Linked DNA regions of Tamandua tetradactyla. The protein of the gene in region 3 interacts with the protein of the main gene of each other region in a pairwise test. Links are inferred from orthologs where the notes say so. Each region holds a gene or a part of one and is shown on either strand. Other genes may lie near its edges.

What was found.
Region 1: the proteins of TRIM39 (region 3) and EIF4A2 interact in binary tests that used the Homo sapiens proteins (3 or more experiments, as listed by UniProt). The two-hybrid records come from large-scale screens. The link is inferred for Tamandua tetradactyla from reciprocal best matches to the Homo sapiens genes TRIM39 and EIF4A2.
Region 2: the proteins of TRIM39 (region 3) and PSMD9 interact in binary tests that used the Homo sapiens proteins (3 or more experiments, as listed by UniProt). The two-hybrid records come from large-scale screens. The link is inferred for Tamandua tetradactyla from reciprocal best matches to the Homo sapiens genes TRIM39 and PSMD9.
Region 4: the proteins of TRIM39 (region 3) and UBXN6 interact in binary tests that used the Homo sapiens proteins (3 or more experiments, as listed by UniProt). The link is inferred for Tamandua tetradactyla from reciprocal best matches to the Homo sapiens genes TRIM39 and UBXN6.

Annotation. Positions count from the first base shown.
Region 1 is NC_135336.1:5,774,082-5,781,707, forward strand, and holds the start of EIF4A2 (eukaryotic initiation factor 4A-II), read left to right. Parts: upstream 1-4,610; 5' UTR 4,611-4,910; coding exon 4,911-4,939; intron 4,940-5,792; coding exon 5,793-5,841; intron 5,842-5,934; coding exon 5,935-6,067; intron 6,068-6,177; exon of another isoform or gene 6,178-6,246; intron 6,247-6,347; coding exon 6,348-6,487; intron 6,488-7,254; coding exon 7,255-7,423; intron 7,424-7,528; coding exon 7,529-7,626. UniProt on the Homo sapiens protein: ATP-dependent RNA helicase which is a subunit of the eIF4F complex involved in cap recognition and is required for mRNA binding to ribosome.
Region 2 is NC_135331.1:10,050,528-10,057,898, reverse strand, and holds the start of PSMD9 (26S proteasome non-ATPase regulatory subunit 9), read left to right. Parts: upstream 1-4,356; 5' UTR 4,357-4,490; coding exon 4,491-4,628; intron 4,629-7,371. UniProt on the Homo sapiens protein: Acts as a chaperone during the assembly of the 26S proteasome, specifically of the base subcomplex of the PA700/19S regulatory complex (RC).
Region 3 is NC_135331.1:85,289,123-85,296,868, forward strand, and holds the start of TRIM39 (E3 ubiquitin-protein ligase TRIM39), read left to right. Parts: upstream 1-4,739; 5' UTR 4,740-5,307; exon of another isoform or gene 5,308-6,213; intron 6,214-6,962; 5' UTR 6,963-7,092; intron 7,093-7,376; 5' UTR 7,377-7,383; coding exon 7,384-7,746.
Region 4 is NC_135337.1:77,655,748-77,663,648, forward strand, and holds the start of UBXN6 (UBX domain-containing protein 6), read left to right. Parts: upstream 1-4,896; 5' UTR 4,897-4,990; coding exon 4,991-5,073; intron 5,074-7,901. UniProt on the Homo sapiens protein: May negatively regulate the ATPase activity of VCP, an ATP-driven segregase that associates with different cofactors to control a wide variety of cellular processes.

The DNA.
Region 1 (7,626 bases), on a different chromosome or scaffold from region 3:
TTTCAGAGTTGGGCTTAGAAAGAAAGAGGTCACATCTGAGCAATAGAAGAGATCCTCTGGAAGTAATTCTTATTCATAACTATAGGTAGGCTTAGAGAAGTGGACCTCTTTTTAACGGCTAAGTATATGCATGGCGTACAATTTATTTAACCAATATCTTTTTTATAGACATTTACTTGTTTCTAGTATTTTGTTGTTAAAATACTGAGAAAGGGAATATGCTTGTTGATTGCAGAAGTCGAGGATATAGTAAAGGTAGGGTAGAGGAAAGGATTCTTGTGATAGTTCACGTATAGGATAAAATACCTAACTGGACGTGTTGGGTCAAAGGACATGTGCATTTTAATTCTTCATATTGCCAGAATATCCTAAAAAATATTACACTAGTTTAAACGTCCACCAAAAGTACTACAGTATCTGTTTGCCCACTAAGTATTGTCAAACTTTCTAATCTTTGTTAACCTAATTGATAAATTTTCTAAGTTATTTCTTCTCTTTTTATTTTACTTTCTCAACTGTATCCAAAGTGAGAATTGTGCCCTTTTAATCTTAATGCTTGCAAGGGCCCAGCACTACCCTATACACCTTAATAATTATTTCTTGCTTGTTGTTGATGGTTTTAATAGCTCAGATAAAGGATCAGCATTGATAAGTTTCAGTGGCTGAGATATTTCAAACACAGCCAAGTGGCCATTCTGGAGGTTATTCTTATGCAGAATATCGATATCCCTTTTCAGTTTTGGTTGTACTGCACTAGCTAGAGGGAAATACCTGAAACTGTTGAACTGTCATCCAATATAATTAATTCTTGCTTGTTGTTGATGGTTTTAGCAGCTCAAATATAGAATTAGAGTTGATATGTTTCAGTGGCTGAGAGTTTGGACGTTACGCTTATGCAAAAAAAAAATCCCTTTTCAGTTTTGGGTGTACTGTGGTAGCTACAGGGAAATACCTGAAACTGTTGAACTGCCATATCGTAGCCTTGATTCATGAATAACTTTAGAGCTTTCAAGGTGTGACTAAAACCTTGTGTAAACCTTGTGACTGACACTCCCTTTATTGAATGTATGGACTGATGAGTAAGAAAAAAGAAATGAATAATAGGAGGGTGTGGGGGAATGGGATGTTTTGGGTGTTCTTTTTTACTTTTACTCTTATTTTTATTTTTTTTGGAGAATGAACATGTTCAAAAATTGACTGTGATGATGAATGTACAGCATTATGATGATATTGTGAACTTCTGATTGTACACAGGGCGCACAGGTGATTCAGTGGTAGAATGATCACCTTCCATGCAGGAGACCTGAGTTCGATTCCTGGGCCATGCACCTAAAAAAAAAAAATCATATGGTGAAATGTATGTGTGTGAAGATTTGTCAATAAAAATATTTAAAAAAAAAATCATACCGGAGTAAAGGGAAATCTGACATTGTGTACTTCCTGATGGAATGAACTGAAAGGGAAACTTTACCAACTACAATTACTATTCTTTCCAAACATGTGTTTAACCTGAATCTAACAATGAAGCGAAAAAAAACAACAAATTCAGATTACGGGACATTTTAAAACAAAAACAAGCTGGTCTGGAATCTTCAAAAACATCAGTGTCATAAAAGAAAAATAGTAGAGGGTAACTACTGCTCTAGATTAAAGGAGACTGGGCAATGAAATGCAATACGTGATGCTTGATGGGATCCTAGATTTCTTTTTAAAGCCATAAAGTATATTATTGGGACATTTCAGAAATTTTGAATATAGATAGCTTTGTTGGGAATATCATCATATCAATAGTTAATTTATTGGGTATAATAGCATTTTCTTGGTTTTATGAAACGATATCCGTTTTTAAGATAAAAGCCGAAGTGTCACCATGAATGTGACTCAAAAGGGTCAGCAAAAAGTCATAAATACGAGAGAAAGAGTAAACATAGTAAACCTATCAATTGGTAGATGCAGCAAGAATTTGGCATTTGTTACATTATTCTTGGAACTTTTCTGTAGGTTTAAAAACTTTCCAAATAAAAAGCTGGCCCTACCTCAGATCAGATCAAGTGAATCTGGGTGGGGGAGGGTGGGTGGTAGGGCCCAGTCCACAAGTATCTGCATTTTGAACAGATCTTTTCATTGATTTTTATGCATTCCACAATTTTCAATTTAATTTGAAGTACAATATTGTCACTTTATTTTAGTCTCTGTAAAGGTAGAGGCAGAAATACCTCCATCTCTTAGTTACACAGTAGTTTAATGACCTTGAGCAAAGGGACCCAAATCCAGTCCTTACAGAGTTCGACAGGCCTTTCCATGGTCCTACCCCCAATTTTCACCATTCCCTTCAACCATTTTGTCTTTATTTTCATGCAAATGGTTTTTAAAACTCCTGTGAAGGACATGGTAGTACGTGCCACCCTCCACATTGCTTCTGTGGACAGTTTCTACACATAAACAGATTTAGCCACTGATTTCCTCCAGCAACAGATAATAAAAAGAGGTGAATTGCACTCCTGTCACTGTTTAGCTTTAGGCAATACTTTTTAATCAGTTAAATTATAGATGTAGGGACTTACTGGCTAAATAACATTAATAATTAATAAAGAGTGAAAGGTCCAAAACATACACCTTAACAAAATTCTGCTTATCAATAGATTGGCAAGGTACTGCTTTTTAAGTGTGTAGTTATCACTGAAAATTGACTGATGGACTTACAATAATATGGGCCCCAAGATGATGCACAAATATCCCTTTAAGATAAGACACCGTTTATAGAAAGATGTCACTACCAATATAAAATATACTCTTTTAAGGCTGTAATGGGTTTCCATTAAGTAGGGATGAATTTGTAATAATTTCTTGGTTCCTCTGGTAAACACCAGCTTACAACTGATAGATGGTTCCAAGACATACAACGCCTAGATGGGTTTAGAATTGTCTGCTGAGACTACTGAAGATAAAAAAATAAACTAGATGGCTCATATAAGGAAATAGTCTTTAATTTTTAGCATCACAACTGTAAGTGGTCTCACACATTCCATGTTGGTCCAAAAGCATTTGAGAAGGCTATCTAATTTTAGATCCTAGGCAAGCAGGAAAGTTTACCTTTTCAAACAAGGATGAAATGCAAGCTGGTAAGCACAGGGTTTATTGGAAATATAGTGTAGGGTTGCAGGCATTTGTGGGTCTGGCTTTACACTCTATAATGAAATTTTTTTTACTTCAAAACCTCTCCAGCACTTACAAACTCTAGAATTTAGCTCTTGATTGTTTCCTCTTAAGAGATGGGTAGCATTTAGCCTTAACACTTAACCTAAAGAAAACACTCAGCAATTAGGTGTTAATTGTTTATGACTTCACCCTAGGATGGATTGGTTTCATCTTAAAACTAAATGATTTGCCACTGTCCTGATTTAACACTTTCACCAGTTTCTTAAATCCCAGGCTATTTTTAGATTTTGGATGAGACCATTTAAAACCTCTAGGGACCAGGGGAGCAGGGCGTACGGGGCTGAGGGCCGACGATGAGCAGTCATTAGACTGGGGGCCAGGTCAACTTTGTCATCTCCCTGCCTTTTAATTTTTGTGACAGTTCCTGGCACCATAATATCAAAAAAATAAATGGTGTCCTGTAAAACAAAACACACACGTGGTATTCAGAGCCAAATATTTTCTAAAATATATAAAAGTGGTTGTCAGTTTTTCTAGTAATCAGATTTTAGGCTGGCCTTTTGAATTAATGAGAATGTTTTCCTGAGTATTCGGGATGCTAGCTTGCAGTGCTGGCAGAAGGACTATACTTTAAAGTTACACGACAAAACGTAGTTTTTATTTTTACCAACGGGGATAGATTGGGCAACAGCTGAAAACCTTTGGAGCTTAAAAAATCATGCAATTTCTTTAAGTAGCAAAGACGGTCGCTCTCGATTTCAACAGCTTATCATTCATCCTGCATAAGTATTCAAAAACTGAAAGACTTTTAAAAAGATGACCAATATAGACCGAAATGAAAACATCTAGTTCCAAATCGGCGTGGAGCTGAAGGTGCTAGAAGCACCCATTTAAAACCTGCATTATAAACCACTCTCCCTAAGCTTTTAATCATTTACAAAAGTTTACACTGATTTCTCCCCGGCATTCCGTATACCTGCTACGTTACAACTATCAGCATTATTTTAAAAAGAGAACGAGAGAAGGCCAGAAGCAACACGGGGAAAGCAGAGTTGGCTATTCCAGAGACACTTGCAAATGACATACGACCTTCTTCTCGTTGGTAAACCTGACTTTTTGGGACGCGCTGGGATGCCGACATTTTCCCCAGCAAGAGTTTCACACTCTGATGACCTGACTGGATGCTAAACCCTTGGGCTAAAGGACGAGCGACTTTCTATCACCAAATTAAACGGCGATGCACACAGGTAAAAGGACCGTGGGCTCGCTGCATAACGCGCGTGTCGCGGTCGCCGCTACACCTGAGGATGCGCAGCAAACGTGCTCGCCCGGCCGCACTCGCCCACAGGGAAGCCGCTTCCGCCTCTCGGCCCCTCCCCGATCCCTCGGGCCCGCCTCTGCGGCAAGGACGTGGAAACCCCGTAGGAGGAGGGCGGGCACGGAGAACGGGCTCTGACTATCCCTTGCTGCAATATTCTTCCGCCGCTTAGCAAAGAGTCCCGGCCCTTCCCAAGGGTTCTGGGAATTCCCTCAACCCTGGAATATCGAAGAATGACAAAATATGGATTCCCCCCCAGTACTTTCTCAAGGTTTTACATGAGGTAGGAGCTTCAGGATCACAGTTTTGTGGCCGATCGAAGAGCGACGAGAAAATTCCTCCGCAGGAAACGGGTTCCGGCCGCGAGCCTATAAAAAACGGGTAGCGCGGTTCTGCTGTCTTTTCAGTCGGGCGCTGAGTGGCTTTTCGGATCATGTCTGGTGGCTCTGCGGATTACAACAGGTATGGCCCTCTTTTGGTGGCAGTAGTTTGTGGTGAAGGTCGTGTTGGGACGAGGGGAGGTTGTAGTAGATGGCTTCCCCGTAAGGAACGCCAAATTCATAGGTGTATCTTTAGGGGTACAGTATCCTGTGCCCTTCGGGAAGCTTCCATAATGGTTAATGTTCCGGATTATAGGGAGACAAGACGGGGGCAGGAGAATAGATCGGTTAAAAAGCGCCTTTTTTTTCCTTTCAAGGACGTTATGAAATGACAGTTTTCACCTCCCCTTGCGCTGAGCACAGTAAACATTTAGTTAATTTAAAGCTGTGGCGCAGTCCGGTTTGTGTTCTGTGTAACGGGGACCGGAAGTTTTATGTGCGGCCAGCGGCGCGAATTGAGTTCCTGGGTTTTGAATGGGGGAAGGGTGGCGGCAGCTTCCACTCGGCCCTAGCAGAAGGCGGATGGGGCTGCACCGAGGACGAGGGTCCGGGCGAACCGTTAGCATAGACTTCCTCAGGCCTCTTTCACCGTGTCAATCACAGTGGCTTGCGCAGTGTAAGGGGCGGAGCGCAACGTTGAAGCTCTCGCGAGAGGCCCCACCGCCAAACGGGAGCTCTCTTCTGGGCTGGAGTGAGAGGCCAGTGTCTGGGCTTCGCGTGCGGGCCTCGGACGTACTTCACCATTCAGGAAAGGAACATGGTGTGTTTGACCTGCACCTCCAGTTGGATAAATATTAGAAAATTACATACGTAGGAGAGGGTACTGTGCGATGACAGGCGAGGTTAAGTGTTACCTGTAAAAGGGCTATTCCCTTAAGGTGCAGTTGAGTTACGGTGGCTTAAGGGATTTTCTCTAACCGCGGTGTTCTTGTCAGCAGAGAACATGGCGGCCCAGAGGGAATGGACCCCGATGGTGTCATCGAGGTAAGAAACGAGTGTGGTTTTTGAAACTCTGGAAAGGTGAGTTTGTTCATCCCATTTACTCCTGCCCTTTTTTTTTTTTTTTTAAACTCACAGAGCAACTGGAATGAGATTGTTGATAACTTTGATGATATGAATTTAAAAGAATCTCTTCTTCGGGGTATCTATGCTTATGGTTTTGAGAAGCCTTCAGCTATTCAGCAGAGAGCTATTATTCCCTGTATTAAAGGTAAAGGAAAACTCGGGTGTTCATAAAGTAGTGGAATATTGTTCAGCGTGCACCTGGACCATAAAAGGGAAAATAATCTCTTGGGGACTAGCACGTATGTGTATTCCTTAAAGTGAAATGATGGCAATCATCTTTCGGGACTGACCTGAAATGAAGAGAATACTCATTGCTGATCACTTATTTGTTTGGGCATAGTTCATTTTCCAAATGGAATACATGGTATGAACTAGAAGTGACAATTTGATGTGGGATCGGTAAATATGTATCCTACTTTTTTTAGGGTATGATGTGATTGCTCAAGCTCAGTCAGGTACTGGCAAGACAGCCACATTTGCTATTTCCATCCTGCAACAGTTGGAGATTGAGTTCAAGGAGACCCAAGCACTAGTATTGGCCCCCACCAGAGAACTGGCTCAACAGGTATTGATAGTGTAGTTCAAAAAAACTGCTTGCGTGTTGCATAGGTTTCAGGTTTCACAACTGTGAAGACTTTAAAACAGTATAAATTGCTCCTATCAGGGCACTCTTGTTGTCCATGCATGCAGAGTTTTTGTTGAAAGTTAAATAGGAACTGAGTTTACAGGTACAGTTTGCAGGGTTGTATTCCAACAGATGATAAGCCAAAGCATTCTATTCCGAGCACACTAGATTTGTGTCCATTTTTAAGTTTGAATGCAGTTGTGCAACATGAAAACTGCAGTGACATGTTATTTGACTGTCTCAGTAGTTTGTGATGCATCTGTTGCATGCTATTGTTTTCAAAGCTCACTGCTATATTGGCTTTGAAGTAAACTTTCCTAATAAAGCAGGTTTTATTAAGGTCCAGACACAGTATCCCCATGGGAAGAGATTTTATAAAGTATCAATAATATGATATTAGATGTAATTGCAGAGCTTGTTTGACTGTTTACATCACCCCCTACTCGTGAGGACTAATGTAGAAAATTTTCAGTTCTTTAATTATCTAATTGGTACTTTCGGGAAATAGGGATTCCAGCTTTGACCAAGTACAAGAATGAGGCAGTTTACAGAAATTTAATCTTAAAACACTTGTTCAGTCTGCACTTTAAGCTTGGAGATAGTTATGTGCTATGCATGCAAAACTACAGACCAGATAGTTGAAATGTTTTGGAAGTTAGTAGAGCCTATGAATTTAGTGGATAATAATTGAGGCTTTTGATTTTTAGATTCAAAAAGTAATTCTGGCTCTTGGAGACTATATGGGAGCAACTTGTCACGCCTGTATTGGTGGAACCAATGTTCGAAATGAAATGCAAAAACTGCAGGCAGAAGCACCACACATTGTTGTTGGTACTCCAGGGAGAGTGTTTGATATGTTAAACAGAAGATACCTTTGTAAGTATTGTCCTTAATGCAATATTGCTAGGTCGGGTGGGTAAAAGTCCATTGTAACCATGAAAATCTAGGGATGATAGTATGACCTTTATATTTTTTTAACAGCTCCAAAATGGATCAAAATGTTTGTTTTGGATGAAGCAGATGAAATGTTGAGCCGGGGGTTTAAGGATCAAATCTATGAGATTTTCCAAAAATTAAAT
Region 2 (7,371 bases), about 75 Mb from region 3:
CTGCCCCCTCCCCCTGCCCCTTTAGGTCTGGGACTGGTAATGGTCCCCACCATTGTCAGCTCCAGGTCTTTCCTTAGTTTTTCCCCTTAACCCCACCTCTGCTTCTGTAAATAGCCCGTTCATTAAAAGCCCCCTTGAGTGTGGCCCGTGTTTCCTGATGGGTCCCTGTGATGGTGACGTGCACGTTTTGACTTGGCCAGGTTAGAGTGTTCAGTTGTTTGGTCAAGGAAGTGCTGGTCTGATTATTACCGTGACGTCATTTCGTGGACTTAAATCATCAGCCAGCTGGTTGCATGTATGGCAGATTACATCTACAGTCACCTGAAGAGGTGGCCTTCAGCAATGAGAGAAGGCTCATGCAATCAGCTGAAGGCTTTAAAAGGAGAAGTGATGAGTTCAGCAGTCAGAAGGGAGAATTTCCATCTCTATTTCAGCCAGCCAGCTTCTCCCGGGGAATTCATGGAAAGCCTTCCTTGGAGTTCCAGTTTTGCAGCCTGGCCTATGGAATTTGAACTCACCCAACCCCACAGCCATATGAGAGAATTCTTATAAAAATTTCATAATATTTACAAATATATCCTGCTGGTTGGTTTCCCTAGAGAACTTTGACTCATACAGGCCCTGAACTGATTCAGCAACTAATTTAAAATCTTAAAAATTCTGAGTGAGTCAACCCACACAGCCTGTCACCAGTTAGAACCCAGCCCCTCGTCTTACAGATGCTGGAAAGGATGGCGAGAGAAGGAAGGTGATGCATCAGTTAACCTGACTCCTAGGCCAGGTCCGAAGTGAAATATGGGAAGTTTGGTGGGTCCTTAAGCCAGGTAATATTATCAGGACCTGGCCAAGTCTTAGCTGGGATAGCTCTAGCTCCCTGGCTCGGGTTCACACTTCCTTAGCTCTTGGCTTCTCTTTCATTCTGAAATGAAAACGAGCAAGGGATATGTTTGCAAGAGGCGAGCTTAAGTTCTCTTAGATCTTGGCAGGTTGCTAACGGAAAGGCTTTGCTGGGCTGTCTGTGGCCGCTGTGGGTAATGAGCCGCATAATTGGAATGGGGAAGGGGTGAAGATGGCTTTCTCAGCCTCTCCCCTTAGGATTGTCTATTAAATAAACACTCAGACCCTTGAAGAGAGCAGGCCCTAGTTCATGTCCTCTAAAAGTCCCCAGTGCATGGGCCAGACATGTCAACGTGCATTTACAATATCAAATGAAAAGGGCAGAGAACAGGTGCAGGTCAGAGAATGGTTCCTAAGGAGATCATGTTTGAGCTGAATCTTGAAAGAGATGCTGGGTTAGCCTGGCGTGAAATGGTGTTCTGGAGAAGTGGAAGAGCAGGTGCTAAGGCCCAGTGCTAAGACAGAGTGAGCCATCAACGCACAAGTGCTAGAAGTTCAGCATGGCTGGGACTTAAGGTGTGTATGCGTTTGTGTGTAGGTGATGGGGGAGGGGATGTTCGAAGGCAAGCTGGAGTCAGAAGGGTCTTGAAGGCTAAGGAGAGGGCATGGGAACGCCTTGGAAAACTTTCAAGCATCAAGGAGATAACCTTGGTATTTGGAAAGGTTATTCTGGCTGCGGTAAGGGAAATGGAGCAAAGGGGGTGAGGCTGGAAGCTGAGACGTGTTCAGAGGCTGCTGCAATCCGCCAAAGATGGGATTGGCTGGGACACGAGGAGAGGCGGATGTGGTGGGTGGATTTGAGAGGTATGAAGGCAGCAGAAGGGGCAGGATCTAGGTTTATTGTAATAGTGTCAACCATATCAACAAGAGCAACATAGCATAGTGATTTGCCATAGCTCCGGTTTCTAGCTTCATGGGTAGAATCGCCTCCTCTCCTCTTTTTATTTTGAAAATTTTCCCTATACCCTTGTGATGGTTGGAAGCTGTGTATACCCCCAAAATGATCATGCTCTTTTAATCCATTCCTTGGGTGTAGATTATTGTAGTGGGACCTTTTGGTTAGGCTATTTCAGTTGAGATGTGACCCACCTCATTCAAGGTGGGGCTTAATCCTCTAAACGGTGTCCTTTATAAGAAAGATATAAGATAGAGAAGGACATCCCGAAACTAGAAGAGAGACAGAAGCTAAAAGAGAGAAACATGCAGATGCTCAAAGAGCAAACCACTGAAACCAGCAACTGGAAGCAGCGAAACCTAGGAAGGAAGGGAAAGACGGGCAGATATTGCCATATGCCTTCCTTGTGACAGAGGTATCCTGGAGTGCCAGCAGGACATGCCTTGATTTGGACATTTTTAACGGCCTCAGAGTTGTAAACTTGTAAGGTAAGACATCCCCATTGTAAAAGCCAACACATTTTTGGTATATTGCATTTCCTCAGCTTTAGCAGATCAAAGCGACCCTTCACCTAGATTTATTAATCATTACATTTCACCTATATATATATATATATATATATATATATATATATATATATAGTTGTTTTTCTAAACAACTTGCAAGTTGGTTGCAGAAATCATGATGCTGTTTCCCCCAAATACTCCAGCATTTATCCCTTCCTAATAAGAAGATTCTCTTACATAATCAAAATACCACTACCTTACTCAGGAAATTTAATATCAATATAATACTATGATCTAATATCAAGTCCATATTCAAGTCCTACCAATTGTTCCAATAATGTCCTTTTCTTTCTTTCTTTCTTTCTTTTTGCATGGGCAGGCACTGAGAATTGAACCCGGGTCTCTGGCATGGCAGGTGAGAATTCTGCCACTGAGCCACCATCACACCGCCCACAATAATGTCCTTTAAAGTGGCTCTTTTTTTTTTTTAAATCCAGTATCAAAGATCATGTATTGCATTTAATTGTTTTGTCTTTCTCCTTTTCTTTTTTTTGTGAATGTTAAAAATGTTAGTTTATTTAAAATAGATCAATTGAACAAAATAAATGAAGCCTGATATAATCGGTTCTACTTTTTTTTGTTAAAATGCTTTTTTTAACTTCTTATTTTGAAATCATTTTAAACTTAAGGAAAAGTTACAAAAACAGTACCAAGAATGTTCATGTTTGTTTCACTCAGCATCACAGATTATTTTGATTTTGCCACACTTATCATTCTCTCTCTACAAATATATATTCATTTATTTTCTGAACCATTTGCCCCTAAATATTTCAGAGTGCATTTTCTGAGATCATTCTCATACATAACTGCAGCACAGGTATCAAAATCAAGAAATGTAATATCGATACTATTCAAATGTCCCCAGTTTTCCCAAGAATGTCCTTTATAGCTTTTTTTTTGTCACTTGGGGAGGGGACCAAGTTTCCAACCAAGGATCACATTTAGTTGTGGCCTCTGTAGCCTCCTTTACTTCGGGCAATTTCCAAGCCTCTGTGTGTTTGCGTGTGCAAACATACACATGTGCGTGTGTGTGTGTTTTGCAACATTGACCTTTTCAGAGAATTCAGGCCAGTCGTTTTGCAGAATATCTCTCAATCTGGATTTGTCTGCTTTCCTATGCTTGGTTTCAGGGTAAACACGTTTGGCAAAAAAGCTTCATAGGGCATGCTGTGTACTTTTCAGTGTAGAGTATGAGGGCTTGTGACGTCAGTTTGGTGATGTTAAATTTGTATTTGGTTAAGCAAATTGAAATTTTGGCTTCACGTTTTACTAGTTGGGTAAATTGATCAAATGGGGGCAATAATACTAGTTTCATGAGGTTGTTGAATGAATAATTATAAGGTATCCAGAACACTGTGGTACATTGTAAATGTTCAATAAATAATTATCACTATTATCATCACTATTATTTTTACCAAATCTTATAGATATCTTCATATGTGAGAGGCGCGCTGTTCAATCCTCTACAGGCATTTTCTCATTGATTCTTTATCCCTCTAGCATCTTGGACAATGCATGGCAAATAGGAGGCAGATGACAGCTCTATGAGATGGATTGCTATCAACCTTGCACCACTTCACAGATGAGAAAACTGAGGCTCAGAAGGGTGATACAATTTATCTAAGGTCACAGATTGTGGGAGGTGGTAAGAGTAAGAATTTGAGCCCGGGCTTGTACGGTTCACCATAAAACGAGGCCTAAGGAACCTGGATGTATCTTGTGAACTGTCAAGAGCTGTGCAGATGTGAAAAACTGAATTGGAGCGCCTTGCACAGTGCTCTGAAACATATGTACAGTAGGCGCTCAAGAAATGCTTGTTGAATGAACAGGAAAGAAAATCAGTAAACTAGGTAGAGAGCTCCCTGCCAGGGTGGAGTTGAGCGCCCGGGCGAGACCCGGAATCGGTTTCGCGTGAGTACCCGCGCGCGGGTCTCCCGCAGGGCCGGGATCACGTGCTCCAGCAGGGTGTGGCTTCCTGTGACCCCGCCCCATCACCGAAACCTTGCCCTTGCCAATCCTCGCAGGGCTTTGCGGCTGTGGTGTTTTGGCCCGCGGGCGGAGCCGTAGCCACAGTCTCCCAGGTGGTCCGCAGAAGCGGAGCGGCTTGTTCAGCTCTGGGGCCTCTGTTAGAGATGTCGGAGAAGGAAGCTAAGGCGAGCAGAGACTCTCCGCAGGCCCGCGAGGTGACAGTTAGTGACATCCAGGAGCTGATGCGGCGCAAAGATGAAATCGAGGCCCAGATCAAGGCCAATTATGACGTGCTGGAGAGCGTGAGTGTGGGCCTCGGGCTCTCTGCCCGACATGGGGGGCGCCCCAAGACCTCCTGGCTGGTTCTCCCGAACCCAGGGAGGGACCTGGAAGGTAGGGGGCGGCCTCTGCTTGGACTCTCAGCTGTGGGAATTTCTCCCTCCCTGGGAGGTCCGAGGCGCCGCAAGTGCGGCTTCTGTTGGCGGTAGGTAGTGCAGACACGTTAAAAATATTAACAGCTCGTGTTACATAGTCCATTGAGCCTTTCCGGCATGCTACGCGCTGTTTTGAGTGCTTTACGTGCGTTAGCTCATTTAATGCTCGGAACAATCCTTTGAATGCGGTACTATTATTTTCCTATTTTAGGTTGAAGAAATTCAGCTAATGAGTTGCAGACGTTGGGCTGTAAACACCACCACCACCAGTCCTTGTTGAACATTTACTAGGAATCATATGTTTTTGTTGACTAATTTACATCAGGGTCTCTTAAATTTTAATGCTCATAACTTGGGGGTCTTATTAAAGTGCAGATTCTGATTCAGTAGTCTGGTTTGGATGCCCAACCCTGCATTCCTAACAAATTCATGAGCTATGTTGCAGATCTGAGGACTACACTTTGAGTAGAAGGGATTTATGTGTCCTGTATTCATCTGATAGGTTAGGCTGATTATCCTTAAACAGTGGAGGAAACTGAGGCCCACGATCTTGCCAATAGGATGTGGCAGCAGTGGGCTTGTTCTCAGGTGTGTCTGGCCTCAAAGCTGATGCTGTTTTTCCTGTCCACCTAGCGTAAACCCACGAATCAATTTGTAGAGAGAGATTAAATTGACTACATATAGGCAAGACGGAATGCAGTGTAGAAAATGGAAGTAAGATAAAGTATCACTTGGAGGCCTGAGTATCATTTCATTGGATACTGACTATATACCTGGTTATTGTTTGTGTTGTACCTTGAAATTCTGATACTCTGTAAGGTTGGTTTGTTCTCCTAAAGTACAGAAAGGGGAAGCCACTTGTGCAAAGGGACAAAGTGGGATTCAGGCCTGATTAATCCGGAACTTGAGCCTGCAGACTCTATGCCAGTAATTTCTCAAGCTTGAGTTTTCTGCCGTCAACAGGATGCTGTGTTCATATTCCTCCTGTACCATTATTCCTTGATACTTTTCTTTAGGTGGCCCACTTTTTTATTTAAATGAATTTATTTTAAAAGGAACTCTGTATCTGTGCAGCATATGGAAAACCAGAAACTCTGTAAAGTAAAAATACATGTCAAGGCAGTGCAAAATGTTAGTTGCATCTAGCTAGCTGCCATTGCTTGCTGAAGGCTTTAAGCTTTAACTCTGCTCTGTTTATTTAGAAAGAAATGGAGAGCAAAACACTTTCAGAAGAAAATATAGGAGTATGTAGCCCTGATATTGGGCTAGTCAAAGCCTGCATAGATATGACACCAAAAGCACAAGCTACCAAAGGAAAAATAAATAAATTGGACTTCATTAAAATTAAGAAGCACTTAATTTTTAAGCACTTCTGTGCTTAAAATTTAAATTATTAAGCACTTCTGTGCTTCAGTGGACACTGCCAAAGTAAAAAGACAACCTGCAGAGTGGGAGAAAACAAATCATATATCTGATAAGGGTCTTGTATGCAGACTATGTATAGAACTCTTACAACTCAACAATAAAAAGACAGATAAACCGATTAAGAAATTGACAAAAGATCTGAATAGGCATTTCTCTGAAGAAGATGTAGGAATGGCTAATAAGCACATGAAAAGATGCTCAGCATCATTAGCCATTAAGAAATGCAAATCAAAATCACAATGAGATTTTTGGGGTGATGATAATATTTTGGAAGTAGCAGTTTCACGGCATCGTGAATGTATCAAATATCACTGAATTGTACACTTCAAAATGGTTAATTTTATGAATTGCATCTTAAAATACACACATGTAATGAGATAGAATTTCACAGTCACTAGAAAGGCTGAAATTTAAAAGAGTAACAAGTGCAGAAGACATTATGGAGAAATTGCAAACATCAGACACTGCTGGTAGGGATGTAAAATGGTACAGCCTTTTTGGAAAACAGCTGCTTTGGCAGTTCCTCAAAATGTGAGTTCTAATATGACCCAGTGATTTCACTTCCAAGAATATACCCAAGAGAAATGAAGACATACATCCACACAAAAATTCACATACGAATGTTCATAGCAGCATTATTCATGATAGCCTAAAAGTGGAATCAACCCAAATGCCCATCAATTGATGGATGGTTAAACAAAATGTAGTGTTTGCATGCAATGGACTATTCAGCCATTAAAAAGGAGTGAAGTACTGATACATGCTATGACATGGATGAAGCTTGAAAACATAGTGCTAAGTGGAAGAAGCCAGTCACAAAATCAGTCACATTGTATGATTCCATTTGTATGAAGTATCCAGAATAGGCAAATCCACACAGACAGAAAGTAGATTAGTGGTTGCCAGGGGCTGGGGGTGGGGGATTTGGGCAGTGACTGCTGCTGGGCACAGGGTTTCTTTTTTGATAAAAGCATTCTGAAATTGTGGTGATAGTTGCACATATCTGTGAATACACTAAAACCATTGAATTGTACATATTAAATGGGTCAGTTGCATGGCTTATGAATTATTTCTCAATAGAGCTGTTTTTTTTTTTTTAAAGTAAGCATAAGAAATGGAGGGAGCCAGAGATAGCAAGTCATCTGGAGGTGTAATAAAGACCACCACCACGTTGAGACTTTCTTCT
Region 3 (7,746 bases):
CACCATGAAGCAGAAGGAGGCTAATTTTGACATTGTATCTGGAACTCGTTACAAAGGAAATGGAGGTGTATATGGCTGGGATTTGAAGAGAAAAATAATCAGCCGTGGAGCCAATTTTATAACTCAGATTTTGCTGAGACCGGGAGCATCTGATTTGACAGGAAGCTTCAGATTATACCGAAAGGAAGTTCTACAGAAATTAATAGAAAAATGTGTTTCTAAGGGGTATGTCTTCCAGATGGAGATGATTGTTCGGGCAAGACAGATGAATTATACAGTTGGCGAGGTTCCAATATCATTTGTGGATCGTGTTTATGGTGAATCCAAGTTGGGAGGAAACGAAATAGTCTCTTTCTTGAAAGGATTATTGACTCTTTTTGCTACTACTTAAAAGAAAGTTACTCATTTACACTTATCATGTTCATTTCAATTTAAACAAAAAAGAAGGCTGGTTGCTGATTTTTATAAAATGTACTCTTAGAGCATAAACTGTAAGGTAAGGTAAATTTCATGTAAATCTTTTTTTCTGAAGAAACTCCCATTTTATATTTTAAATTAGAAAAATGAACAGTTTCCTCAATTTCATTTTTATTTTGCTGTATTGAGATCTATAAATAAATGTATGATTTTTTGCACAAAAAAAAGGTATATCTACATCCATAGAGTTTTAAAGTAAGGGGTAGATAACTGTTTATTCTCATGGTTTCCATGAGAAGAGATTTCCTCAACCTCCCACACTCCCACCTTTCTCTAGAAGTGACCTAAAGGGGGTTGAAGCAGGAGCTGAGCAGGCTTGGCCTAGCTCCTTGTCTTTTTTCCCTCTTTGAATCTGTTTGCAGAGGGAATGATTTCTCAGCATCTCCCAGCTACATGTAAGCTTAGCCAGTAGGTTCTGAAGGGGAGAGGTAGGCATACCTCAAGGGTTAGGAACGTGTTCAATTCAAGGGAAGGCAAGCAAATCAACTGACGATTGCTAAACCATTCCCTCTAACATGGTTTATAAAACTAATAAAGGTGACATTTTGGTCCCAGGGTTCTGACTCCTGTATCTTTCTACCGGTTCTGTATAGGTTTTGAAATTGGCAAGGAGAATTTGTATTGTCCTAAAATTTCAACAAGAAAGAAAAAATAATGAGTTTGCTTTGTTTTTGTTTTTGTTTTTTAGGTACAAAGAGTAAGTAAAGTGAACTATTTTTTCCTTTCCTTACCACTGTCAACAAGAGGAGAAATGTCCTACATACACCAAAATTCCTCAATTGTACTGTTATCATGCTGTTAACTTTTAATTTTGAAGCAATAAAATCCATAATAAGGACCCATATTATATTTAGAATCCTAAACGATGCTATTAAGATTTTTTTTCTAACATAGGAATTTTCAATCTTAATGAGTTAAAAATTTATATGAGAGGACTTCTGGGAAGATGGCCAAATAGAGTAGCTCAAGATTAGCCCTGCTTCAGGGAAAAATTAGAGAAGGGACAGGAGAGCGACTGAGGCAGCGATTCAGGAGTGAGGCTGACCTGGGAGAGCATTTTGCACCACAGAGGGCAGCCCTAGTTGCAGAGGCCGAGGAACTGAGAGGTAGAAACCTGGAGACTGGCGAGGAGACACAGAACCCATGGGAGTGCACGGACAGGAGCAGGGGACTAGGAAGTAAGCCGGGCCACATTCCTTGGGTGCATACCCTCACCAGTGCAGCCTCGTGACCGGTGACTCACCCCACACCCCACGCACCCGAACCCCGTCATACGCTCCCATTTCCCGGGCTCCAGGCACCCCCACCCAACCATCCCTCAGTGCATGTACCTGCCCCACACTTCACCCCAACTGCAGCACATTTCACCTCTCCTGGCACCCCTCCCGAGCACTACCTCCCCCTCCCTGTTCCCTGCAGGCTGTTGCCAGCGCATAAAGGCTGCCAGCACTACCCTCCATACCCAGGCTACCCCTGCCCCCCTGCCCATAGTGTCGTACAGCTTCACCCCACACCCCCTCAAGCTCTGTGCATCAGTTTAAGCACTCCTAGACCCAAGCACAGACAGAAGATAAACAAGGATATAGAGAAGTTAAATAATTTGATAAATGAATTAGACCTAACACACATATACAGGTCAGTGTACCTCAAAGTACAAGGTTATACTTTCTTTTCTAGTGCTCATGGAACATTCTCCAGGATAGATCATATTCTGGGGCATAAAACAAGTCTTAATAAATATAAAAATAATGAAATTATTCAAAGCACTTTCTCTGATCACAATGGGATGACCTGGATCTCAATAACCACCAAAGGAACGAGAACATTCACAAATACATGGAGATTAAATAACACACTCTTAAACAACCAGTGGGTCAAAGAAGAAATTGCTAAAGAAATCAGTAGCTATCTAGAGATGAATAAAAATGAAAATACAACTTATCAGAACTTATGGGATGTGGCAAAGGCCGCGCTGAGAGGGAAATTTATTGCCCTAAATGCCTTTATCATAAAAATATATTTAAGCCCTCTAGCCTCCTATATACTGGAGCAGCTAGAAGTAAAAATCTGAGAGGATCGTATCACAGCCCATGACACACTCGGGGATCTGTCCTATAACCACTTGTTGAAGAGTGCTTTGAAAACTATTGCTTTTTTATTTCTTTGCTTTGTATATATGTTATACTATATAATTTAAAAAGTTTAAAAGAAATTACCCTTCATCCCATTAAAATAATTAATTTTTAAATATTCCTGTGGTGATAATTTCTTGATATACAACACAAAAACTCAGTGCTATTCCACCTCTCCTGAACTACAACCCCTTCTAACCTTTAATAATACCCCTCCTTGTTTAAAGAATGTACTTGTATCCCAGTATCTTCATAAATTTCAATCAACTAAGTTACACAAGGTCATAACAAATCTGCTATGATCTCAAATTACCTTTATTATTTATTTTTATATAGACACAGAAAAAAGAGAACACAGCATGTCTATCCCAATTATCCTCGTTTGAAAATTAGTGGATTCTTCGACAAAGTCAGCAAACTATGGCATGTCACGTGTATTTTTGTATGGCCCAGTAAATGGTATTCATATTTTTAAAAGGCTGGGGAAAAAATCAAGACTATTTTGTAACACATGAAAATTATATGAAGTTCAGGTTTCAGGATCAATTAATAAAATTTTAATGGATACAGCCACACCCATTTCTTTAGTATTACCTAATTCTTTTTTTACACTACAAAAAGAGAGTTCAGTAGTTGCAACAGACACTACACAGGCAATGAAGACAAAAATATGTCCTATTTGGTCCTTTACAGATAAAGTTTGCCAATCCCTAATCTATGTCATACACCATGCCATTCATAATTTTATAGTTTTACCTAGGAATTTTCTCCCTTTTCCCTCTATAGTCAGTGTACAGTCTCCTTAATAAGCTATTGGTCTCCAGACAAACATTCTTCATAGTCTTGGACATGGACCCCCTCCAGGGAATCTCCTTAGTCTAACAGCATCCCCAGTCATGTATAAACAAAAGGCGAGTAAGGATTGCTTTCCGAACTTAACCATGTAACACCTTAGAAGTTACAAATGCACAACAACAACAAAACAGAATCAACCTTCTTCATCATCCTTCTCCCTCCAAAGCAAGGCTAAAGAGGCTGTTCTCCCAGCTAGTGGCTTTCAAACTACCCTAACGAAGAATTAAGTTTTGTTACCTGGAACAAGTACTACTGCTAAAGTCCCTAAGGCCAAATAATAAGAATACAAATTAATGATCATAATTTTCTCAAGTATAATTTTATCAAGTTTTTCTCCAGATCTTTGGGTACCACACATACACACACACACAAAGTGATCAAAAAGCAGAGGATCTTTAAGAAAAAAAATAGACGAACTGTATTTAGCATGTGCGACCCTAAATTTTTACACTTCACATATTTGATTCTATTTTCCGCAAGTAAATAGTTTCTGGCTCCCACGATGAGAGGCTCTACATTACAATGTTTGTATAGCATCCCAACTCAAGACTGGAACAAGCTAGATTCCTTCCTCTCCAAGAAGGGTACACCAAAATTTGCTCATGATCTCTTTCAATCAACATTCTGCTCGCCAAGCGTTGGGAGCGGGGCAAACTGCCTTCTTCTCTACCAGCAGTTTCATACTCATCCTAGCACTAACTCCTCCCCAGCCCTACCACAACTCTACCCAGCACGAGCTCCTTCACAGCCCCAGCTCCTTCCCAGCCCCAATATCACTACTCGGCACCAACTCCTCCCCAGTCTCGCCACACCTCGATCCTGCAGATTCCCCCCCCACCCCCAGGCCCATCACCTCACCCCACTGTAACAAAGTCCCGACCTGCGGAGCTTCCAGCTGCAGAAAGGGTAGAGTGTGGAGTTCCCGTACAAGCACCATCTGACCTTTCAGAGAAACCCAAGTCACAGTCCCATAAGTGGAAAGGACCGGCCTTGGCTCGCACCAATAATGGGTGCGTACGGAGAGCTTGCAGCGGTCGTGCTCCAAGCGAGGCGCAAGGGATACAAAGGTGAGCAGCAGAGACCTGAAATACCAACTCTCCGACTCTCACTCCAGCGGGAGAGGAGTATCATTTCGAAAAAGCCCGCCAAACCAGAGGCGCGAGGAACAGCTCTTGAAGTACACGGGAGCGAGAATTTAATCCCTGAATGTTAAAAGGCTAAAACTCAAGTAGTCGGAAGTGACGTGCGAGCTGCGAATTGCAGGTCCGCCACGTAATTGGCCACCGCCTCAACAAGCCACTTTCTCTTCGGACTTGCCTGAAGAAAGGGAAAGTGTGGCTGAAAGCCCACAATCCGCCCCTGTCCCGCCCCCCGACTCCCAGCGCCACCGGGGAGCCGCGGAGGCTGGCCAGGGCCCTAGCCCGCAGCGTGGGCAGGGCTGTCTCGCCGGACCAAGAGGCCGTCCAGCGCCCTGCGGGCAATGGGCTTCGGCGCTCAACCACGCGCATGCGCGGCCCTCTTTCTCCAGAGGATTCCTCGGGTCACCTGCACGCCGGCATCTCCGCCACCTGCCCCTCCAGGTCCCTTCTCGTCCTTGACTCCTCCCACTGGTTCTCACCTCCGGCCCCATTTCTTCTCCTTCTTCCGCAGGCCCCGCTAGGCCCTGCCACGGCCGCCCGCGGACACCCGGCTTTCGCTCGACACGAGCCACTCGGCGCGGCGCGGCTTCCGCTTCCGGCGAGTATTGTGTCGCGCTGCGGGGCGGGGGCGGGGGGAGGAGAAAGGAGGGAGGCAGCGCTCCGGTGGCTCCGCGCCCCGCAGTCCCGGACCCGAAGCCGGGAAGGTAGGTGCTGTCCCGCCGCCGGTCCCAGACCCCGGGGCCTTCCCCGCCGGCCGGCTCCGCACGCCGCGTCCCAGCGCCCCGCGACTGCGTCACCGGTCCCCCTCACGTAACCACTGCTGCCTCCCCCCGCCTCAGGCCGGGGCGGACGTTTTGCCGCCCCGGCGACGTCAGCGCGTCCGGCGTTGCTTGGCTACCCCGTGGTTCCCCCGTCCCGCTGCCGCTCGCCTCCCCGGGTGAAACTCCGACGCCGTCACCGCCGGTCTCGGCTGCGTCATAGCAGCGGGCATCCCACCTTCACGTCACACCTCCTCACCTGGACACGCATCCTTCCCTCCCCCGCCAACCATGACGTTTCTTGCCCACCCCCTCCAATCCCTCTGCGCCAGATCTGGCGGGAGAACGTGGAGACGGGGGTGGGACAGAGTTGTGGACCACGCTCAGGAGAGGGTCGCAAGGTGGGACCTTGGACAGTGGTAGAAACAGAACGTCGGCGTCCCACAAGTTTGCCTGTCTACTGACACACAAAGCATAGAGGAAGAGGAAGGACCAACCCAGAGGCACCCAAGGCATCATTATGCCTGTAGCTCCAAGTCCTCTTCATACTTCCCTGACCCTTTATCCATTTCTTTTTCACATAACTTCTCCGTTCCCTCTGCCAGTCTAAATCCATCCTGGCCCCTAATGTTGCATACAGTTCAACCCCAGGTGAGGAGGTCGCCTAATTTCTAGAAGATTGAGGACTAATGTCTAGTCAAGGTTGGATTCCCATAGGTAAAGAAAAATCGTCTGACTGAACTTCGGTCCTGATGCTGGGGGAAGAAATTCATGTTCAAAGAACTTAACAAGCTCCTACTCCAAATTAAACATTTTCATATGTACCATCAATACATACAAGAATAATCTTTGGTAACTCACCCATTACATGTTCACTTGCCTCTCAGCAGATATACCTGCTAAATTTCCTTCCTTTATTGGGTCTTGGGGGGTGGGGGGAGGATGGACAGGATGAGTACAGAGAAATTATTCATGAATAGGAGTGTTACCATTTTAGGGATGGAGTAGCCTTCTGCTTTATAAATACCTTAGATGCATTTTCAGTTCTTTTGAGGTTTCACTTAAGGGAGGTTTTAATTACCTCTTTACTTTTCTTTCTCCGAATTCCCAACCACTTCAGAATTTATTACTTGGAGACACTATTTCCAAGGAATTAGTTATGAATAGCTATCATGAAAGTCATTGCTGAATAATTAGAGTAGAATCATCAGCTCTTTCAATAAGTTATTGGCTTTGGCTCAATATTGTACTTTCTAGTTGCCATGAATTTATCACTTTTTAGCATTTCTAAATACCCAAATTTACACGTACAGGAATGGATGTTCTGTGAATCATTTCATTCTAAGAAGAGGGCCCAGTTCTCTAAGCTATTCTGATAAAACAAAGAATAATTTCAAACTTTCTTGTAAAGGAGATACTACCCTCACACACCCATTCCATTCATTACTCTTTGAAAGAATGAGAAGAATGGTTGAAAATCAAGATAGACCCCAGTGAAATATAGTAATAAAATTCTTCTGTAACATTAACTTCAGATTTAATTTAATATCTTAACTCTAACGACAGCTTTTATTGTCACAAACTCCTTTCTCATCTGTTAGAATAATATGTCAAACTACGGATATATTGGTCTGGAATTACTGGTTCTAAGATATAAGTAGAATGTGCCTGCATCAGGAACACACTGCTTGGGTTGGGAGAAGCCTTTGTTTTTAACAAGAGAAAGCAGAGGTAAGAGACAGAAGATTGGGGGGAGGTGGGGAGTAGTCTGTTTGGCAAATAGTAAAAAAAAAAAAAAAAAAAAGATTTAGGTTGATGGCTGGGAGTCACAAGTTTGGAAATAGAGAAACAAAATAAAAGTTGAATCTAGAGGAAGAGAAGATGGGAAATACTAAGATGGGACTAAACTTAGAGATAGGGTTTAATGTGGGGGTAAATGTCAGACCAGGGATGCAAAAAAATTAAACCTTCAACTAATATTTTTCTTTTCTCTGTGCCCCCTCCCCATTCCCAAGTTAAATAATGGCAGAGACAAGTCTGTTAGAAGCTGGGGCCTCTGCGGCCTCAACAGCTGCAGCTCTGGAGAACTTACAGGTGGAGGCAAGCTGTTCTGTGTGCCTTGAGTACCTGAAGGAGCCTGTCATCATTGAGTGTGGGCACAACTTCTGCAAAGCCTGCATCACCCGTTGGTGGGAAGACCTGGAGAGGGACTTCCCTTGTCCTGTGTGTCGAAAGACATCCCGCTACCGCAGTCTCCGGCCTAATCGACAACTAGGCAGTATGGTTGAAATCGCCAAGCAGCTCCAGGCCGTCAAGCGAAAAATCCGGGATGAGAACCTCTGTCCCCAGCACCATGAGGCCCTGAGCCTTTTCTGCTATGAGGAT
Region 4 (7,901 bases), on a different chromosome or scaffold from region 3:
TCTAATCAAAGGCCACACCCACAATTGGGTGTGTCACATGATTGCCAGTGACATTCAGAGTTTCTCTCTCAGCTGGAGAGGCACATGGCAAGATCTGCTAGCTTTCTCTTCAGTGGCTTCCCCAGGGCTTTGTCTGTTCTGTTGGCTCTGTCAGTTCTGGTGCCTCTCGTGGCTCTAATCAAGTTTCCAACCTACAGTACTGAATCAGGATTAAAAGAAACGACTGCCCTCACAAGATTGGATCAGGATTAAAACATGGCTTTTGGGAAATACATAATATTTTCAAACCAGCACATACCCTCACAGCTCACTCTTTCACTTCCTTGGGGTTTTTGCTTAAATAAATTCCTTCCCCCAATGTATGCAAGTGTAAGTAAATCTCAAATAAATGAAATTTTCAAAGTATAACACACACATGGAAAAGTCTGAAAATCAGAATGGGCACGGCACGATGAATTAGCACAAAACGAATCCATCCAGGCATTCACCACCCAGGTCAAGACTTGGAACATTCCAGAGGCCCCTTCCTAATTACTCCACAAATCCTCCTTCCTCCCCCCGCCCCACCGCCAAACAATCCCTATCCTGCCTTCTAAGATAGAATCAACGGACTATTTTTTATTTGTAGATAAATGGAACCATCACCTGCATATTTTCACATGTGGTTTTTCTTCAATATACTTGTGAGTCATTAATAATGCCTGTTGCACGTAGGCAGGAGTTCATTCTTTTCTTTTAATCGTGGTGCAGCATTCCCTTGTGTCAATAAACTACTAATTATCTATTCATCCCACTGTTAATGGAAATTTGGGTTGTTTCCAGTTGGGGCTTCCATGAATAATAATACTGCTATGAACACTGGGTACAAGTGTTTGGTGTGCAAATGTGCAGCGTACCTGTTGGCTATGGGCCCCAGGCGCGAGCTGGTGGGCCTTATATATGGGTGTGCTCAGTTTCAGCCGACACCATCAAAAAGTCTTCCACAGTGCTTGTAGAGCCCGAGAGGTCCAGGGGCTCCACTGCTTGGCCTTCCAGTCCTCAGAAGACAGCAGGAAGTGGTGCAACAGTGGCTCAGTGGTAGAATTTTCGCCTGCCATGCCTGGAGACCCAGGTTCAATTTCTACTTGGAATGGTTAAAATGCTTCTGAATATTACGTTATGTTTATTTTACCACCCGAACCAAAGGCGCTGGTGAGTGTGAAAAGACAAGTGATGGAGTGAATACTATAATGATGATGATGTTGGTTCATGTGTTGTAACAAAGGCACCACACTAATGCAAAATGTTCAAAACAAGGAAAATTGAAGATATGTGTGTGGGGGCGGGGGGTAGTGGTGGATGGGGGTATATGGGAACTCTGTATTCTCTGCATGATTTTGCTGTCAACCTACAACTACTCTAATAACTAATTACTATGCCAAATAATAATTTATTAAATAAATTTATACAAAAGACAAGCGGTAGACTGACAGCAAATATTTACAACATGCATAGTGGACAAAGGACTCATGCAGAACTCAGACCAGATAATTACAAGAAAAGAGAGAGAACCTGACTCTTAATAAATGGGCAAAAGACTGAAACAGGCACTTTACCCAAGAGGCTAGCCAGGTGAACAACAGGCATATAAATCGGTATCTTTATTATTACTCACCAGAAAAATCAAGACCATAGCACTGGATACACCCCAGAAGGGCTAAAATGAAAGGGAATGGTGAATATCAAGTGCTGACAAGGCTGCGGAAGTCTCATCCATGTGTGGGGGGAGGGGGGAATGGTCATAATGGTAAAACCCCTTGAGAAAAGCATCTGACAGTCTCTTGGAAAAGTTCTGTGTGGCTCATTACATAACCCAGCCACTCCACTTCTGGCTGTAGACTACAGAAATGCAACCAAACTGCTTCAAATGAAACATATAAGTGGATTGTGGTAGGTTGGAAATGGTCCCCCCAAAATATCTTGGGCACTTCCTAGTCCTTGGAACTTGTGGCTGTTGCCTTGCATGGAAAAAAGATGTGCTTTTTTTTCAAGCCCTTGAGTGGAGCAGATTATCCTGGATTATCTGGGTGAGCCTTAAATGTGATCAAATACAGAGGCAGTTTTGAGACATGCAGAGGGAGTTTTGAGACAGACACCCAGAGGCGAAGGTGATGTGAAGGTGGAGGCAGACTTTGGAGGGATGCAGGTACAAGCCAAGGAATGCCAAGGATGGCTGGTACCCACCAGAAGCTAGAAGAGGCAAGGAGCGGATTGCTTCCCACCCCCTAGCCCCCACCTCACATCAGAGCCTTTGGAGGGAGCTCATTCCTACTGACACCTCAATTTCAGACGTCTGACCCCCAGAATTCTGAGATAAATTTCTGTTGTTTTAAGCCACTAAATTGGTGCTGATTGTTTACAACAGTCACAGAAAAATGATATGTTGTTCATAGCAGCTTTATTCGTAATGGCTCCAGACTAGCCATTGTGTTCTGTCCATCAACAGTCAAATACGTGAATTTTGGTGTCTTTCTATCATGGAATATGACTCAGTCACGAATAAGACTGAACTGCTGCCTCAGGCTGCAATATGGATGAAGCTCAAAGACATAGCGTTCAGCAAAAGAAGCCAGACACACAAAAAAGTACATACTATATGATCCCTTTCAGATGACTTTCAAAAACAAGTAAAACTCTACTATGGGAATGGAAGCTGGAGCCTTTAAAAGAGGCTTTGACTATACAGCATTTACAATGTGACCATGTGATGGTGGAAACCTTGTGTCTGATGCTCCCTTTATCCAGGGTATGGAGAGATAAGTAAGAAAATAAGGACAATAAATAAATACTGGTGGGAGGTGGGTAAGGTGTAAAAAAAAATGGGTAGATTGCAATACTAGTGATCAATGAGAGGGAGGGTTAAGGGGCATGGGATTATGTTTTTTTTCTTTTTACTTCTTTTTCTGGAGTGATGCAAGTGTTCTAAAAATGATCACGTGACGATCACAACTATGTAATGATAAAAGAAATTAAATGTGATGAAATATTTGATGATACTGTGAGCCATCGATTGTATACTTTGGATGGATTGTATGCTGTGTGAATATATCTCAATAGAATTGCTTTAAAAAAAAAAAGAGGCTTTGACGGAGATGGGCTCAGGGAGGCTCACAGCTTGGGACCTGGAAATGTTCTGTATCTTTAGCTAGTTGATGATTGCACAGACATATACAAGTTAAAAATTCACTGATCCGTACACTTGGAATTTGTGCACTTTAATATCTATAAGTTATAACTCAAAAAGTTAACACCACCATCACTACCATAAAAAAAACAAATCACTACTAAAACACTGCAAACAAGTGACCACAATCAAAGACACTGAATTTAAAAACATTTTTTGGTAATAAAATACGGTGGGAATAACATAAAAAATCTCTCACATCCTATCACCCAGTTTCGTGGTGGACAAAGTTTGACCAATCTTGTTTCTTATTTCCCTTCCATATACATACAGTTTGTATATATACGTAAATTATACAAACATTGTACAAAATATATATACACATATGTATATATTTACAAAATATATATGAATGTTTAGATTTGTTTTGCAGAAGTATTTACAACACTGTTCATCTGTCACATTATTTCACCCATAACTAACGCAGAATGCATTTTTCTTTAGTACAACTATCATGCCAGTGCCACCGCAAACAAAATTAGAACTGTCTCCTTTATATTATCTAGTACCTGAGACATAAACAAATTTCCCCAATGGCGCCAAAAATGTCCTTTGACCATTCTGGACTCCCTTATTTGATGTTGCAAACTGTTTCACCCTATCACCCTGTTCTCCTCTATTTCTGTTTTCCACTTTTTCTCTAGCACACCAAATCCCATCTAACCTACTTCAGATTGTATTTATTTATGGTATTGTCTATCTTCCTTCCCCACCCTTCTCAAAAATATCCTGAGCTCACCAGGGCAGGGAATTTGATCTGTTTTCCTCACTGCTGGTACAGAAATGAGTTCTGAAGAAATGTTAAAGGAATTCATCGTTATGACATCTGCCATTCATGGACAACTCTGTAATTGCGTGGGGTTGGTGTTATGAATCTGGAGTTCAGAAATGTTAAAGTTTGGGTTGCACTAAATTCTCCTTTAAATCCCTTAAAATAATCGCCAATCTCCTTAATTTAAGGCTCTTTGGGATCAAAATCGTCCGGAACTATCTCTTCCCATCCCTTATCACGCCCGCGCCGGGACTCTTTCATTTTCTGGAGAAAACCCATGATACTTCGCTTCCAGGCTCTGCGCAGACTTTTTCCTGGTCGGGAGACCTTCCTCTCCCACACTCTCCTTGTCTCCCTCACTCCTACTCGTTTGCCAAGGTTTATTTCAGCTGTCAGGCTGGGTGTCCTTTGTGGTCACAGCCCAATCCAGCACGAAAGTCCTCCTTAACCTGCTTCTCTCTTTCTCTCGTCCGCCATCGTGGACCCCCAGCCCCGAGTTCGCTGTCTTCTTCTACAGCACGAGGGGCTGCTAGGGCTAAAAACTGGGGTGGATTGTAGGGTCCCTGGATGCCTGGTTGAACTGCGACCTTATCACGTAGGCACTGGGGAGTCAGGGAAGGCTCTTGAGCAAGGAGGACAGGGCCACAGCTTTCTCCGCGGGGACCAGCCAACCTCTCTCTCCCACTCCGCGGCGGACGCAGGGAAGGTCGCCCAGACGCAACCTCCAGCGAGAAGCGCGCTCGTCGCCCCTAGCAACGGAGTCCGGAAGAACCACCGAGATGTGGTTCTTGAGTGTAGAGCGTCGCTCTGGGACGACTGGGCACTCAGAGCTAGATTGGTGCGCCGGGCCGATTGTCACGTGGGCGGCCGCGCGAAGGCGGGACTTCCGGCGGCGTAGTGTTTTCTTTCCGGTAGTTGGCTCCGGCAGGCCCCTCCCCGACTGGGCCGTGCGCCCCCGCGCCCCGCGGCTCCCCGCCGCTGGGCCCGCCGCCACCATGAAGAAATTCTTCCAGGAGATCAAGGCAGACATCAAGTTCAAGAGCGCAGGGCCCGGTCAGAAGCTCACAGACCCTGTGGGGTGCGTAACGGGCGCAGGGGCGGGAGAGGGGTCCGAGCTCTCGAAGGGCTGAGCTGGGCGGCGGGGAGTCGGGTGGAAGGGCGAGGCCCGGGGGCAGGTACGAGGTGAGGTAGTAAAGCGGGAGGGTGATATCTAGGGGGCGGTGCGGGAGGGGCGAGACCTCGGGGGTGGGGCTGCAAGGAGAGGGGTCAGTCGCGATATCTCAGGGGGTGAAGTGGGTGTGAGTCCTAAGCAGAGTTGGGGACGGGGAGGGAGCCCTGAAGGGGCAGAGATGATTTGGAGAAGTCTCTGTGACCACAGATCGAGGCTGACCCTAGAGAAGCAAGTACAGGTGGGGTCCGGAGGAGTCGTTGTCAAGCTCAGGGACAGTGGGAAGAGATTTGGGGCCCTGGAATGCATGGAGTACGGGGTGGGAGAGGAAAGAGTCTGGAAGCCCAGGGAGCCTGAGGCGGTTGTTGGAAGGGTTGGTAGTGACTTGGGAGGTTTGGGTGAATTGGGGTGCTTGCTCCTAGAGGCTGAGGAAGTTCTGGGAGGAGATTGGTGAGGGGAGCTGGGGGTGTCTGTGCTGGGAAGGAAATGGGGGCCTTGCATCTGATGGATGAGTCAGACGGGAGGAAATTCGAGGGAAGGCTTCTGAAACTTGTCTAGAGAGAGCTGGAAGAGGAGAAGAGCCTGGTGCAAGACTGGACACTCAGCAAGGAGGAGGGTATGTGAGGGGCCAGTGGAGAGAAGGAGGGTGTGTGAGGAGCCAGTGTCCTGGAGGGGTTTGTGAAGAAGTGGAGAGGGGTTGTGGACCTGAAAAGGAAGATCAGCTGGGGAATGGGGGGAGAGCGACAGAGATGTCAGCATGGGGAAGGGTCTGTGGGGAGTAATGGAGGATTGTGAAGAGGCAGGGGCATCGAGGATGCAGAGGTGGCAGGAAGGGGTGTTGAAGAAGGCATCGGAAGGTGATGGGGGTGGGGAAGGGAGGGCAGAGATATGGTAAGGACAAGTCATCTGTCACGAGGATTGGGGATTTTTTGGGAAGAGAGTGCCAAGCAGAACGGATTGGGGATTTTTTGGGAAGAGAGTGCCAAGCAGAATGAGAGACGGAAGCAGAGCAGACAGTTTCTCAGAGGGAAGAACCTGCTTTTGTCAGGAATCAGGTGCCTGAGGAGGGAGGGGAGGGCAGCTTGATAGGAGCTGGGGAGAGAGAGGGAGAGTGGTGGGCAAGACAAGGGGTTCCTTTCATTTATTAAAAAAAATAATGGGTGGAGTGGGGAGTGCTGTGACAGTTGGGACTGTGTGTGACGGGAAGGAGATGGGCCTATGGGGATAGTGATTGTGTCAAGACTGAGGCTGTAGGAGGAGAAGGGAGGAGAGGGAAGCCTGGAGGGGAGGGGATGTGGTATGCAATCCAGGCCTCTGTGACGTGTCTGGAGACTTTGGGCAGGGGGTGTATGTGCTCCCATGTGCCACACATTGACCACGACTAAGTGGGGGGACTTGTAGTGGGGGTGGCAATGAGTACACAAATGGATAAATATATGAGGAAAGATTAGGTGGTACTCAGGGCATTGAAGAAAAATATTCCAAGTTAGGGATGGTGCATGGCAGAGAGGATCATCAGGTGCCCTGGAAGCCCCTCTCTGAGAAGGTGATGTTTGTGCCAAAACCTGGATGGAGAGAGACTTGGCCATTTGGATATTGAGCCCCTCCGTATCTCCCTGCAGCAACCCCAGCCCTTCCCAGACGCCTTTTCCTCATCCTACCCGCAGACAGAAAGTTTCAGAGGTTATAGGTGAGAACCATCAGGGTACCTGGAAGCGTAGCCTGGAGAGCATTATGGATGGAGAGGAATGAGCGAGGGACGGGGTCCAGCGAGCCTCGTGAGCCATGGGATGACTTTAGGGTCTTAATCTACAGGGGTAAGAAGGGTTTTGTGCAGAGGTGAGTGACAAGAGCTGGCTTAGGTTTTTGAAGGCTCCCTCTGACAGCTCAGCAGAGAAGAATCGAGGAAGGGCCATAAGTGATGTTTTAGGAAGTTGTTTTTATAGAAAGATCTGAACATCAGAGGGGGCTTGGGTGGGTCTACCTGACACATCTTCTACCCCAAGCTCTTAGACCCTTGAGGTGCTTTGGAGAGGACAGGAGAGAGATGGGGTTGGTTGGAAAGCAGGAGATAAGAGAAAAGGGCTACCCTGTGGATGGCGGATCAGAGAAGAGTGGGAGGAATTTGGGTCCTGAGAAGGTTCTAGAGAGGAACAAAGATGACTTGAGCTCCTGGGGTTCGTAGAGGATCTTGAGGGACACAGGAAGGCAAGACAGGTGGGTGAGATCAGATTGGGAGAAAGGACTAGAAATGTTGAGTGCTGCCAGGTCCTTTTATGCTAAGAGTCCAGTAGATTATAAAACCTCCCATCTTAAGGGGAGAGCGACAGCTCTGATTTTGCAGGGCAGAGGGGAGAGGAATAACGTGCTCCTTCTCCCCTTGGCAGGAATGGGGGTTCATTGCTGGTGGGCCCCCTGGCCCCTCCACAGCTTGACCAAGCGCATGTGTGGCCCACACTTCTGTGAGCCTCTGGTTTGTGGAAAGGGGAGCTGAAGACCTCCCTCGGGGGCTGGTTATGGGAAATAAACCTGTTAAATCATAGCCAGCATCACACCTGGTGCCTGACACACAGTGGGCGCTCAGTAAATGAAACTGCCGTGCTGTTAGAGACAATGTGGGCTGAGCATTCCATGGACGGGGAGAGAGGAGCACTTCCCTTAGGTCCCATCAATTCCTTAAGACCTTGGGGTGCTTTCACGTGTACTTCATCCTGATGGTCCCCCTCATGTTGTGTCGT